2 linked regions of the Yarrowia lipolytica genome follow. The protein of the gene in region 2 interacts with the protein of the main gene of each other region in a biochemical or structural test. Links are inferred from orthologs where the notes say so. Each region holds a gene or a part of one and is shown on either strand. Other genes may lie near its edges.

Region 1 (6,382 bases), on a different chromosome or scaffold from region 2:
GATTCTGTGGCTGGCCGTCGAGGACCCCAGCGACAACTTTCTGGCATTCGCAGACGACCACGAGATTGTCGTGCACCACCTGGGACTGGTCACCGAAGGAACCAACCCTTGGGATCAGCTAACGGAGTCGTCCATCGTGGCAGCCCTGCAAATCATCATGGACAGAGACTCGTATCCTTTGCTGGTGTGCTGTGGAATGGGCCGCCATCGTACAGGAACAATCGTGGGCTGTCTGCGACGACTGCAGGGATGGAACTTGGCCAGTGTCAGTGAAGAATACCGACGATACGCGGGATCTCGAGGAGGTCGAGCTCTCATCGAGCTACACATTGAGGCGTTTGACACGTCGCGGATCATTGTGTATCCAGAAAGCGCTCCCGAGTGGTGTTCTTCGTAGCCTTACGTCTAAGGTCTAATCACATATTTATCTATCGTGCCTTGCTTGTCTATAACTTATAGCTTTCTTTCCATTCAATGTATAGTTACCGTCCCATGCTTATACCCTTGTTAACTTGTACCCATATTGTATCACTGCACAACGTGAATGTTGAAGTAGACCACCGGCAACTGAGTGGTCTCAAACGTCACGTCGGCCTGGATTCCCAGAGCGGCCAGAACTCCTCTAATGACACCCACGGGGAACCACAGGTACGGAGTAGCCCCCTTCATGGTCTCGACCTGGCCTCCCTTGGCACTCATGCGTTGACAGCCTCGAAATTGGTTCTCCACAAACACAAACGTGCCTCTGTGGTTGGTTTTGAGATGGTCCACCTGCTTGTTGTACAGCAACAGCCACACGTCTTTGCAGATGAACTTCATCATGTCCAGCGTATCTGCAAAGTGTGGTCGTTCGTTGGAGAAGCTCTCGGCGATGCCCCGTCCCACACGGTATCCGTATCCCTCCACCCGGAAGTACACGTTGTCCAAGTGGCTTTCCGAGTCCACCAAGTATCCAAACGGAGCCATTTTGGAGCCCTCTTCCGGCTCTGTCAATTCTTGCGACACTCGGAGAGCTGCAGGGACCACTTCTGCCAGCAGCAGCTCCAGTGCTGTGCTCGAAACCATGCCCTCGTCGGCCGATAATGACTGTCGAGGTGTTGCCATTGTGTGTTTGGTGCAATGCGGTGTGTGCTAATTAGGCAACGTCAATATCAAGCACTCGGCTCTGGTATGCGTGGTGCAAGGTTGGGAGTCGCGCATACTGAAACTTTGCCTTGCACTGATATTGTACTAGAGCTATTGAGCTGTCCCTTCTCGGATCAGATCCTGACACAAGACGGAAACAAAAAAAGAGCGACATATGCGCGAGGGGAGAATCGCAACAGCTATATAATGGACCATGCCACGACCGCAGACGGCAACCTCACCGCCACACCAAGTCAACTACTCGACAAGATGATTCCACCCAAAGACCAACCTACCATCGACTCTACGGTCTATGAAGATGGAGGAGGAGACGTGTGGGACACCATCATCAAGGAAACAGAGAGGAAATCACAAGATATTGACCAGGAACAAATTCCTGACCTCGTCTACGACACGCCAATCGCTTCAAGTGGCTCCTCAGGCAGATTCAAGATCCACAGAGAATCACTGCGCCCAGATCACGTGCCTGATTACTTTCCTACAGACAATCCTCTGGACTGGATTGCGTTGTCAGCAATGTTACTCGGAATTGTCATGGGCTCCTGTTTCCTAGCTGCCTTCTACGTCGACTTCTACCAACTGCCCTTCTACCTGGGTTCTCTGGCTCTCTTCCACTTTCTGGAATACTACATCACAGCGCGCTACAACACCCCCAAGGTATCCTATGAGAGCTACCTGTTTCGAAATGGAGCAGCCTACCACATTGCGCATGTTGTTTCGCTCGCAGAGTCGCTGATCGAGTACTACTTCTTCCCCAACCTACAGAACCGAAGCGATGTGCGTATCATCAGCGCCTGCGGAATCGTGGTAATGATCATTGGGCAGCTGGCTCGCTCGCTAGCAATGATCCACGGAGCCACAAACTTCTCCCACAGAATCGTCCAGAGAAAGACCCAGGAGCATACACTTGTAACCACAGGTATCTACTCTCTGCTGCGTCACCCGTCCTACTTTGGCTTCTTCTACTGGGCCTTGGGCACTCAGATGCTGCTGTTCAACTCTGTGGGCTTTGCGGCCTTCTTTGTAGTTCTCTGGGCCTTTTTCCGGGAACGAATCGACTTTGAAGAGCAGTTTCTCGTCTCCTTCTTTGGCCAGGAGTATGAGGACTACAGAAACAAGGTGGGTACAGGTTTGATTGGCATTTGAAAAGAAAACAGAGTCGACTTTGATAGTCAACCATTGCATTCTCCATACTGTATTAGTTTGAATTTATCTTCTACACAAACATGTTATCGCATCATCCACAAGTCTTGAACTAATGTCTCCATACTCCTGTGTGTTATTTCTATACAAGTATCATATGATATGTGCCCGTCCAACGTTTGATAGCTAGTCACAATAAATTTATTCTTCTACATATAATACAAATTAGTCCTCCATGGCGACATCCTTGTCCTTGAAGTTGTTGATGTCCTTGGCATCTCCACCCTCGAGGTTATCGTCGTCGTAAAACTCGTTGGGGTGCTCAATCTGCTCGTCAATGGCCATCTGGGAGCCGCCCTTAGTGTCCTTGGCCTTGGCCGAGTCCTCCTCTTCATCTCCATCATCAGGAGCGTCTCGGGGCACATCGGTCATCTGCACAGAAGGTGCAAACTTGGTTCGACCAAGGTTGACAAGCACCTGGGTGAGAATCTTGTCCAGGTACTCGGGAGAGTTGGCATTCTGCATGTTAGAAGGTCGCACCTCGAGCTTATAGTCGGGTCCGTAGTATTCGTAGTAATCGTTGTAGGGGATATCCGGGCCCACCATCTTGTTGAGAAGCAGACCGGTCTCAAAAGTCCACGTCCTTGACACATTTCGCATTGTGTAGCCTCCTCCTCCGACCACCAGAACCGGCAAACCAAAGGACTTGACGTAGTTGACGCAGTTGGCATGACCCTGCATGGACAGGTTGAAACATCCAAGACGGTCACCCGACAGCGAGTCACCACCGCATTGCAGGACAACGACAGTGGGCTGGTACCACTCCATGATGGCCTTGATGACGGGCTGGAACACGTTTTTGTAGTTTGTGTCGTCGATTCCGTCTCGCAACGGGAAGTTGACTGCGTAGTTTTTGCCCTTTCCGGCTCCGATGTCCCGCAGCTCACCTGTACCGGGGAAAAACTCTCCGTACTTGTGGAACGAGCACGTCATGACTCGGTCCGTGGTGTAAAAAGCCTCCTCAACTCCGTCTCCGTGGTGCACGTCGATATCAATGTACAGGACTCGGGGGTGGTATCTGAGCAGCTCGATGATGCCCAGCACAATGTCGTTGAGGTAGCAGAATCCGGACGCCTCGGATTTCTTTGCGTGATGGAGTCCTCCGGCCCAGTTGATGGCAATATCACACTTGCCTCTGTTAAGCCGGGCGGCTCCCTCCATAGATCCTCCGCCGGAAATTCCGCAGAATTCAAACAGACCGTCGAAAACGGGACAATCGTCTCCGACGTTGAACTTTGCCTGCTCCTTAGCAAAGTGCTCCATGTTGTCCGGAGTGACGCGCGACAGGAAATCGACGTACTCGTCCGTGTGGAACTGGCACATTTCCTGCTTGGTGGCAGGCTTGGCCCGGTAGATCTCCATGTGCTTGTAGAGACCGTAGTTCATGATGAGCGAGTGGGCCATTCGTATTCTGTGGGGCTTCATGGGGTGGCCGGCGCCGTAGGCGTAGTTGCCGACATCCGAGTCGTAGAAGTACGCCACCCGTTTTTTTTCGTTGGGCTTGACCGTGATGGGGTCAAACGGCTCTTGCGTAAATACCATGGTCTGGTGATGGCGGTGTGTGGTGCAAGAGGTGGTGGTGGTTATATGACGATGAGAGTGTGCTATACAAGCCCAGTTACAGAAAATATGCAGAGCAAAAGTCAAACCCGAGCGAGGATGTGTGAGGTTGGTGGATTATGGGCGCAAGTGAAAGGTGGCAAACACTCTCCTGTCACTGTAGCCAAACTGGTGGGGTGCATGAGGGGGGAAATCGGGTCTTTATATACTATTTCATGTGTCGAAAATATGTCTTTGCACAAAATGCGGCCGGCCGAGGGACTCTTTTTCATTGTACTCTGAACATACTTGTATGATGCTCAATTACCACTCACACACTGCCAAACAATAGCCTCTCCCAACTCTCCCAACGATGACTGTATGTAAGAAGAGAAGTGGAAAGCGCTGAAAAAGAAGTGCTCCGGTGCTGAAATTGGGATAAAAGATGGGGTGGCTGGCTCTCAAGAACAAACTGAGTATGTCGTTGGGTAGAAAGAGATCAAATCATTTACACACACCTTCTCATATCTCCTCTCTGTAATTTTTTCAAGTACTGTACTGAAATGTGTGTGCTTGAAATTTCACAGTGTTTCCCAACTACTGTACAAGTATAATTAGTATCATGTCCCAAGTGTCAGGCTAAACAACGATCATAGTCACCATCCCCGTTCTCATGGAGCATAACCAGTCCCATAAATGCCACGCAAGGTCTTGAACCACCCTTGAAAATATCGCCCAAATCTCCAACTCCAAGCACCGTCACGTGCTCATTCCCCATTAGGTGTCGGTTACATCACTTCTCCATGCAAGATCATGCAGAACACGTAAGTACATGTACTCATACTCTCCATACTCCCCACCGGCCTCTTACAACCTGAAAAAGCATGTCAGAGCTCAGAAAAAGAAACCAGGCTGCCGTCGCAGATCTGAGTGAAAATATCGAGGTCACAGAGACCGTTGAACTTACCGAAAAGAAACCCGAAACCACCAAATCAACCAAGGGACACATCATCGATCTCATCATATGTGTCTCGGGCATCTACGCGTCGTTTCTGACGTGGGCAGTGCTCCAGGAACGAATTGCCACCACACCATACGGTCCCGACAACAAAATCTTCCGAGCATCTCTCGTCATCAACACAGTCCAGTCGTTTCTGGCCGCTGCAGTGGGATACGCCTACCTGCAGTATAAACAGAGCCGCAGAGCAGCCAAGGGTCTAAAGAAGAACACCACGGTCTTCGACAGCATGTACACACTCAAACAGCTGTCGTTGGTGGCTCTCAGTCAGTCTTTGGCCTCTCCCTTGTCCTACACTGCTCTCAAATACGTCGACTACCTTACCTCCATTCTGGCCAAGAGTTGCAAGCTGATCCCACTCATGGCACTACAAGTGACTCTTTACCGACGCAAGTTCCCGGCCTACAAGTACGCTGTGGTTGTTCTTGTAACAATTGGTGTCTCCATGTTCACCATCTTCCATGCTGCTCCGAAGAAGGCCTCTGGTGCCGGATCTGAGCACCAGCTCTACGGTCTGGGTCTTCTTGGTATTAGTATGCTGCTTGACGGACTGACCAACTCCACCCAGGACCAAATCTTCCGAAAGAATGCAGATATTACAGGGCCCCATGTTATGTGTGGCCTCAACCTGCTCACTGGTGTTTTCACCACTGTGTCTCTGCTGACCTTCTCTCGTCCTCAGCTAGATACTGCGATCGCTTTCATCCGACTGCATCCCGAAATCATGCGAGACATCGTTCTGTTCGGTCTCTGTGGAGCTGTGGGCCAGGTCTTCATCTTCCAGACCCTCGAGAAGTTTGGTTCTGTCGTGCTGGTGACCGTCAATGTGACCCGAAAGATGTTTTCCATGCTGCTGTCCGTTGTCTGGTTCAACCACCGGCTGACTCTCGGCCAGTGGGCTGGTGTAGCCGCTGTCTTTGGCGGTATTGGCTTCGAGGCCTGGATGAAGATGAAGAAGAACTAGACCATAACGGAAAAGAATTGCAGTCTTCACCAAAATCAAGGCTGGACAAAGCGAAGCAAATAAAATGTAACATAGCTATTTAATACATCTCTATACCACCTTATAATGACCTATCGTAGCACATCGTAGGTTTCCCCCCAGCTACCAACGACTCATATGCGCTCACATCTACACTCGGTTGGATTATCACCCCTTCCTCGCTTGGTTCGTCTGTTTGTGAATCTGTACATCAATCATAATCTATTACTCTCTATACTCCCCCTACATGAAAGGTTCAATGTTGAACTCGATGCTGGAGGAAGCATAAGGAATCTCAAACTTGGCCAGGACATTGGGATGCAGAATGCCCATCTCTCCAATTACCTTGGCCTCGGCTCCGTCCTTGGTTCGCAGGTGGATGGTGGCGCCTCGGCCGGGGAAGAAGGTCTCAGAGTGCGACTCCTCGATCCAGTAGCCTCGGGAAGTGGACTCCTTGGGGTTCTCGATCCACGAAACTCGCAGCATCTGCATCA
Region 2 (6,753 bases):
CGTCACTTGCCACAATGAAACAATTGGTCGTCATGGTGGACCCCTCGGACCCCAACACAATCACAGAGTGGTATTGCTGTCAGTGTGGCGAGTACCACGGCAAGCCGCCCACCCGCTACGATTGTAAGCGATGCACCCACGGACTGTGTCCCTACTGTCCTCGAAAGCGAGTGGGTGATGAGAAGCAGCGTGGGTCGTGATCTAGGCGAGGACTAGGCGAGCGGAGCGAGTCTAGGACGAGACGAGTTCTGGATCAAGTTGCGAGTTCTGGATCGAGTTGCGAGTTGAGTCATTTGAGCTACTTCAAAGCCCGACACCAACGTCGAAGCCCTACGCCAAAGCCCTACGCCAAAGCCCTACGCCAATTGAACCAGCCTGACTCCGTTCTACTCCCCCTCCCCTTCACCCTCCCTCACCGTCACGTCCCTTGCATAGCATAGCCATCTGGAATGGCCTGTATATATTTAACGATGAAGATGAGACTGCCGTAACGTCGTGCACTAGCCCTGTGCCCGACATGACCTTGCGTGACAAACGCATTTTGATCTGTCCTGCAAATGCAGCTGCTATGCGCGGTTTAGCAATGCCGGTTAGAGCGAAAGAACGGGTCACGTGGAGGTTGTCATATTATTTCGTCACGTGAGATTTGTACTGGTGGTCACGAGATTTGACAAACCTCCTACGCTTTTTATTCGGCGATTATGCCGTGATGCTTTAGGAGTTGATGTGATGCAGAGTGAGCAGAGTGAGCAGAGTGAGAAGAGTTAGCAGAGTGAGCATGGTTTACGGGAAAGCAAAGTGTGGGTGTTGTATGTTGCAATGTGGGTGTCTTATATGATGGATTTGAGGTACAAGAATGTTTGTTTCGGGCGCGAGTACTTTCTGTACGGTGGTTGTACTGGTATCACGGATCTGACGGTATTGTATGTTGTTGTCTTGTAGTGAGATAAGTGACATTCTGTTAAGAGATGGTTTTGAATGACTGACTGACAAATACTTATATCTTCTTTTATTTCACTCACTTTTACTTTTCAACTCATTCTTTACTCTTTCACTCACTCTTCACTCTTCCACCCACTCTTCACTCTTCCACTCTTCCACTCTTTCACTCCCACTCCCACTCCCACTCTCGCTCACCATTCAGCCCATTCTTCCTACACTCTTCCTTTCAAAGAATGCCACAATCAGATAGAGTGGCTATGACGACTCATTGTCTCCAGGAATGATACTAGACATTCAACATGGATTCAAACCACCCAGACTACCCGTGACCACCGCTAGTGTCTCCATGTTTCGCGCCTAACCCCGCTCGCCACTCCACTACGGCCACCAAGTTACTGCTTACCTCAGTCGTCGCTTGATCACCGTCTGTCAGTCACCCAGCAAAAGCAGTTGTCTCCGTACAATAATGGAGTTTAGAACAGGGCTGGACATTCCGCATGGTTACTGTGAGCCAGAGGATGGTTACAGCTACAGCAGGGTTAAACCGTGGCTACAAGGGCTTCTTACCGGGCACATGTCGGAAATCTCCTTGTGAATGTTTCAAGTCTGCCACTACAAGTACATTTCTGTACAGTATGTACTGTATGTCGTACATTCTGTACGAACTGCTGGCACAATGTTCGCCTCGGACCTCTGTTTGTCTCTTGTCTTGAAACCCCTCAGACCTCAGAACACACTACAATATAAGTACGCTGACCCTCTACGCGACGCAACTGCCATCTGTCACCACCTCAATTGTCACCATCCCATCCATTCTATTATATACTATATGGGGCGGCAATAGCCACCCTTTTCCCAGCACCCACATCTGCGTCTTACTGCACATCAGCGTCTTACTGCACAAACATGGAGTCGTCAAACTCGCCTCCGTCACTCTCATCATCACTGCCCTCAAGATCCTTAAACACAGACACAGACGGCACTCGTTTCATGTCGTGTGGAGATGACGAAAACACAGGCCCAATCTTGTCGATCCACCGGTTTCGCTTGTCCAGCAGCACTCGAAGACCGGGCCGCTCCTGAGGTACAGCGGTGCCATTGTTGTTCTGCTGCTTCTTCTTTTTCGACTTGGGGTTGCGGATCCGCTTGAGGTAGGCCTGGTCCACCTGCTTGTCCAGGTCCTCCAGAATCTGCCGGAATTCCTGGTACGCCATCTGCTCCTTGACGATGGGCAGTAGGATACGTTTGCGTGCCTGGTTGGTCTTGTGCACCTGGCGCAGCTTCTTCTGCAGCACGCGCATCTGCTGGCAGATTTCGTCGTCCTCCCGGCCGTGCACCCAGTCGATTTCCAGGTCCTCGTTGTTCTCGTCGTCGTCAAGATCGTCCATGAGGTCCATCTCGTCGTCGCGCTTGGAGAACCGCTTGCCCTGCTTCTTTTTGTTCACGTCCATGATTCCCACGTACGTAAACTCGCGCTTGAGCCGCTGCTCCAGCGTCAGATAGTCACCCTTGGCTGTCGCCACCTTCCAGCTGGGGTTGATTAGCGGGCTTTGTGGAGGCGAAGACGACACTGCGGCGGCAGGGGTCGCGCTGTTCTCGTCGTCCTTAGGCTCCTCCTTGATTTCCTTTTTGTTGGGGTCCGGGAGCAGCGCAGACAGCAGACGCGACGCCAGAGGGCCGCAACTAATGTCCGAGCTCTCCAGCGCGTCGTCCACCAGATCCTCGCTCTTGCCCTTGGGCTCAATCTCCGCGAGCTCCGTCTTTGGGGGCGGCGAGAACCGGGACGCTGAGGCTGCGTTGCCAGCAGCAATACCTGCCTCGGCGTCTTCAGCAGCCCACGCGTCGGTGTAGGGGGGACCCAAAGGGGGCACGAGGTACGGTGAGATCTCTGCATCCTTGCCCGTGGCGTAAAGCGGAGCACCCGTGGCTCCAAGCGGGATGGACTGTTGGAGGAGCACGGACACGTCTTCCTCGGAAAAGGGTCGAAAGTAGGGCTCGATCGCAGTCGCAAAGGTCGAAAACTGCACCTGGTTGGGCGGCTTGGCCCGAGTGTAGTCTTGGTCCGGGATTGGGCCGGCCAACTGGTCCTTTAGGTCCGTGGTAGGGTAAGAGGCGACTCCATATTTCAGCTTGAGAGCCTCCTCTCCGGTGTAAGGGATGGTTTTTTCGTCGTAGAGCTTGAGCACCGACAGGGGCAGCGTCTGGGAGTCGACAAACTCGGACTTTGGGTTCTTTTCATACTCCTTGGGGGAGCCCTCTCCGGGGGGAGAGGTTTGGATCGTGGTTAGATCGCTATCAATGTTGAGTTTGACCGGTTCAATCTTCTTTTCCGCGGGTAGTTCGTCCACATCTTCCATTTTGATGTCCTTATTCTCGGTCTGAGAAGACCCTCCAGAAGCTGCTGCTGCTGTTTTCGACGAGGTTGACGACGAGCTGCTGCTCTGCTTGGGTCCTTTTCCCTTGCCCTTTCCGACACCCTTACCTCCGCTCTTGCCTCCCTTTCGCTCCCGGCGTCCCACCGTTTCGTCGATGGCCCGAATCACGGCCTTGTGGTTTTCCAGCACGCCACGGGTCCTCTGTCGAATCTGCCGCAACTCGTTCTGGAGCTCCACCAGCCCGTTCACAGAAACACGTGCATCTTCCGAAAGATCGATCCCATTGGTTTTGAGAAACGAGTTGGGTAACGTCAGCGCGTTCTGTAGCCGTCTCAGCAGCAGCGCGTCTGTGGGCGGCGGTGATGTGGACTTGGATTCCGGCTCCGCAGACGAAACCGCATGAGATCTTGATCGTCGACTGGCCATGTTGCGTGGCGAGATGAGTTATTATTTGTTTGTTGGTGTGGTTTTTTTCTCCGCCCGTTTCCTCTCGCTGTGGCTGCTTGGTCTTGTCGTCGATTTCGCTGTGTCGCCTGAAAGATTGTGTGTCTCGTCACGGCCTGTTTTTTTTTGAATTTTTCCTCCTCGTCAAGCACGCCGTTTTTTCCAAACCTCGTGATCGATGGGGCGCCGCCTCCTCCCAAAACCTGTGGGTTAGGGTTCCGTGAGAAGGTTGTGGAAGTTGAGGCCATCTCGGATATATACGCTACCAGTGGCGTATTAAACTCTATTGACTGCGGGGAAATGAGGGGGCGAAGGGATACCATTGTTCTAGCCACTCGTAAGATCATCTTCGGGCGTTGTTTTCGCCGGATTTGTGTCCTCCAAAGTCGTAGCGTTTCGTAGTTGATTGTACTATTGTGATTACTAATCGCATAAAGTTTGCGTTTTGCGGCCGGGTAACTGAATTTGACCACGCCATACTTCAACCTTCTTTTTGAGGGGTTCATGATAGGGTTAGGGTTGGGGTACAGGGTACAGGGTAAGGGGTACGGTAGTTTGTATTGTACGTTTACACCTCCGTTGAATGGTGATAATAAGTGATGACAGTTATGAACTTTGGCTGAGATGGAATAAGTCGGTGTTTTGACGGGCTGAAAGTGGTTGTTGTGTAACGGTTGTAGTATTGGAAGAGTATGGAGATGAAGAGTATTGAGAAGTAGGGTATCTTCGGAGAGTGGATTTCAGTGGATCAGTGAACGTTAGGTTTGGAGTTCTCCGATGTTTTGTTGGTTGTCGGAAGTATTTCCCAATATTACTGTTTTCGTTGTCAGTAGTAGCGGCTATTCTGGGTTAGTACGGAGTCGGCAGATGTATGGATGTGAGCAAGAAGGTGAATTAGGGTGAATAAGAGGTGAGTGATATCTTTCACGTTTTCCGACTGACGAATCTTGAAGTTCAATTGACCTGGTATATTGTACAAGTACAAGTACAAGTACTTGTAAAATAGTCGTTCCATGACGTGCTTGAACCTGCTCACTGACTGGAATTCTCTCTGCTCGGTTTGACGTGATCCAGTTATGTCCATCCAATTCAGAAGACATAAGATGTTATTGGTCAAAGAACAGGTTCGAGTGAAAATGGTGGAAGATTGAAACGAGGAGATGATGGAATTGATTTGAATTCTGGTCACTTTCGTGCTTGTGATTGTGCTCATATCTGTTCCTGTACTTGTAGAGAAGTAACAGGCCTTTGAAACATTCTGGATGAATGAACACTCAACTTGTCCATTACTTGTAGCTAACATACCTCAATCTAGTTCACAGATGCCTCATATACGCCCTGATAATGCGGTTTGGTGGACCCACACGTATGACCATGCCTCTTGAGAACGGCTCCTCCCACCACTGGCGAGGGTCCTATCACCACTGAAACACTACTCACGACAACCTCCGCCAAACCGCCTCACGGGCTCCTCCCGAATACTAGCGAGGGTCCCATTTGGCGGAGTGGAGACCAACATCATGTCGTAATGCATCTTCTCGATTTCGGCGTCCTTTTGATACAACAGGTTCGTGAGCTGCTCCAAAACCGCCTCCTGGTTCTCAATCACTACTCGCATCTCCTGCACCAGCTGATGGTGGAAGTCCGTGAGCATGTATTTTGGCGGCTGTTCTTCAAGGGCCTTTTTCTTCTCGTCTTCTCTGATGGCCTTGCGTCGTTTGCGTGCCGTGGGGCCAAACTTGTTGCGAATCTTGGCTGCCAGTCTGTCGGCCCGTGACGGGCCAATGTTCCACTTGCCGTACAGAATCTCGCGCTGGTGGCGGATCACGGGCCGGTTGGGGTTCTCGGGAGGCAGTCGCGCGTCGAGCTGCGGATCGTTGTGCACTTCAAGCAGCTCGTTGAGAGACATGACCTGCGGCGGCTGGTTGAGGCCCGAGTTGGACGGGTTGACGTTGGCCGCGTTGATGGTGGTGGCATTGGCCAGCGGGCTGGGTGGAGCTGCTGATCTCCGTGAGCCGTTGCCAACAAAGGTGCCGAGAGCATCAATAACATGGGGACCACGGGGAGCCGTGGAGCTATTGAGCAAACAAGGTCCAGAGCCATTCATGGTAAGTGGCGAATGAGTGGACATTAGAGAGAGGCTGGCGTTAGAGTAATCACAGACAAAAACCAAGAGAGCAGAAACCGAGCTGAGTTGAAAAGTGGGGACATTTTCAGCTCCACTTTTCGGCTCCACCCGGTATCTTCATTCACATGACCAAAACGTCAACACCAGCTGTCTGAAGAGGGTAAACATGAACGAGTACAAGTATACATAGCACGTTGATACCCCATCGTCAACAAGTACATACAGTATTGCACTCGCATATACTCCACCACTACAACTCCATGTTTGTCTAATAATAATACCACAAAATTTTATACACTACATAGCCCTGTCTTCCCTAGATTGCGTGCAAACGGAGCAGGCTTCATCCAGACATCTAATGTCTTTGTTAACTGCCAGACACCCGTCCGGCCTCGCGACCGCCCAGGATTATCTGTTGACAGGAAAGTATCGCCAGATTCGAGCCTTGCAATCTCCACTTCCAGTAGCAAACAACCCGCCCATGGGACTAGGAGCCACACTGATGACCGAATTTCGATGACCCTGCAGCATGAGTTGCACCTGGCCCGTTCGAGGGTCCCAGAATTGCACACCCCGGTCCTTGGAGCCGGAAAGAATCCACTGCCCATCCAGCGTGCTGGCCACACTCAGAACAAAGTCCTTGTGTCCACACAGCGTCTTGACGCAGACGCCTCCTCGCTGGTTGGCCTGAATGCCTCGAGGAGCCTGCAGCTCCCACAGCTTGATCGTCTTGTCCAGCGAGCCGGAAACAAGATCCATACCGTTGGGGGTGAAAGCTACACTATAGACGGAGTCCTTGTGTCCATCAGGGGCCTCCAGACGCTCAACCAGGAAACCGGTAGAGGTGTCCCAGATTCGCACAGA

What was found. The genes of interacting proteins can lie anywhere in the genome.
Region 1: of the proteins of YALI1_A14390g (region 2) and YALI1_E27104g, one has a biochemical effect on the other in vitro, tested with the Saccharomyces cerevisiae proteins (2 studies listed by BioGRID). The link is inferred for Yarrowia lipolytica from reciprocal best matches to the Saccharomyces cerevisiae genes NGG1 and RPD3.

Annotation. Positions count from the first base shown.
Region 1 is NC_090774.1:2,706,502-2,712,883, forward strand, and holds YALI1_E27104g (uncharacterized protein), read right to left. Parts: upstream 3,892-6,382; coding exon 2,515-3,891; downstream 1-2,514. Other genes in the region: YALI1_E27059g (uncharacterized protein), read left to right, coding at 1-397; YALI1_E27076g (uncharacterized protein), read right to left, coding at 529-1,104; YALI1_E27077g (uncharacterized protein), read left to right, coding at 1,120-2,292; YALI1_E27113g (uncharacterized protein), read left to right, coding at 4,773-5,870; YALI1_E27144g (uncharacterized protein), read right to left, coding at 6,132-6,382. UniProt on the Saccharomyces cerevisiae protein: Catalytic component of the RPD3 histone deacetylase (HDAC) complexes RPD3C(L) and RPD3C(S) responsible for the deacetylation of lysine residues on the N-terminal part of the core histones (H2A, H2B, H3 and H4).
Region 2 is NC_090770.1:1,436,000-1,442,752, reverse strand, and holds YALI1_A14390g (uncharacterized protein), read right to left. Parts: upstream 3,744-6,753; coding exon 1,836-3,743; downstream 1-1,835. Other genes in the region: YALI1_A14414g (uncharacterized protein), read left to right, coding at 15-196, 266-422, 1,351-1,419; YALI1_A14377g (uncharacterized protein), read right to left, coding at 4,588-5,064; YALI1_A14368g (uncharacterized protein), read right to left, coding at 5,194-5,892; YALI1_A14345g (uncharacterized protein), read right to left, coding at 6,298-6,753. UniProt on the Saccharomyces cerevisiae protein: Component of the transcription coactivator SAGA complex. SAGA acts as a general cofactor required for essentially all RNA polymerase II transcription. At the promoters, SAGA is required for transcription pre-initiation complex (PIC) recruitment.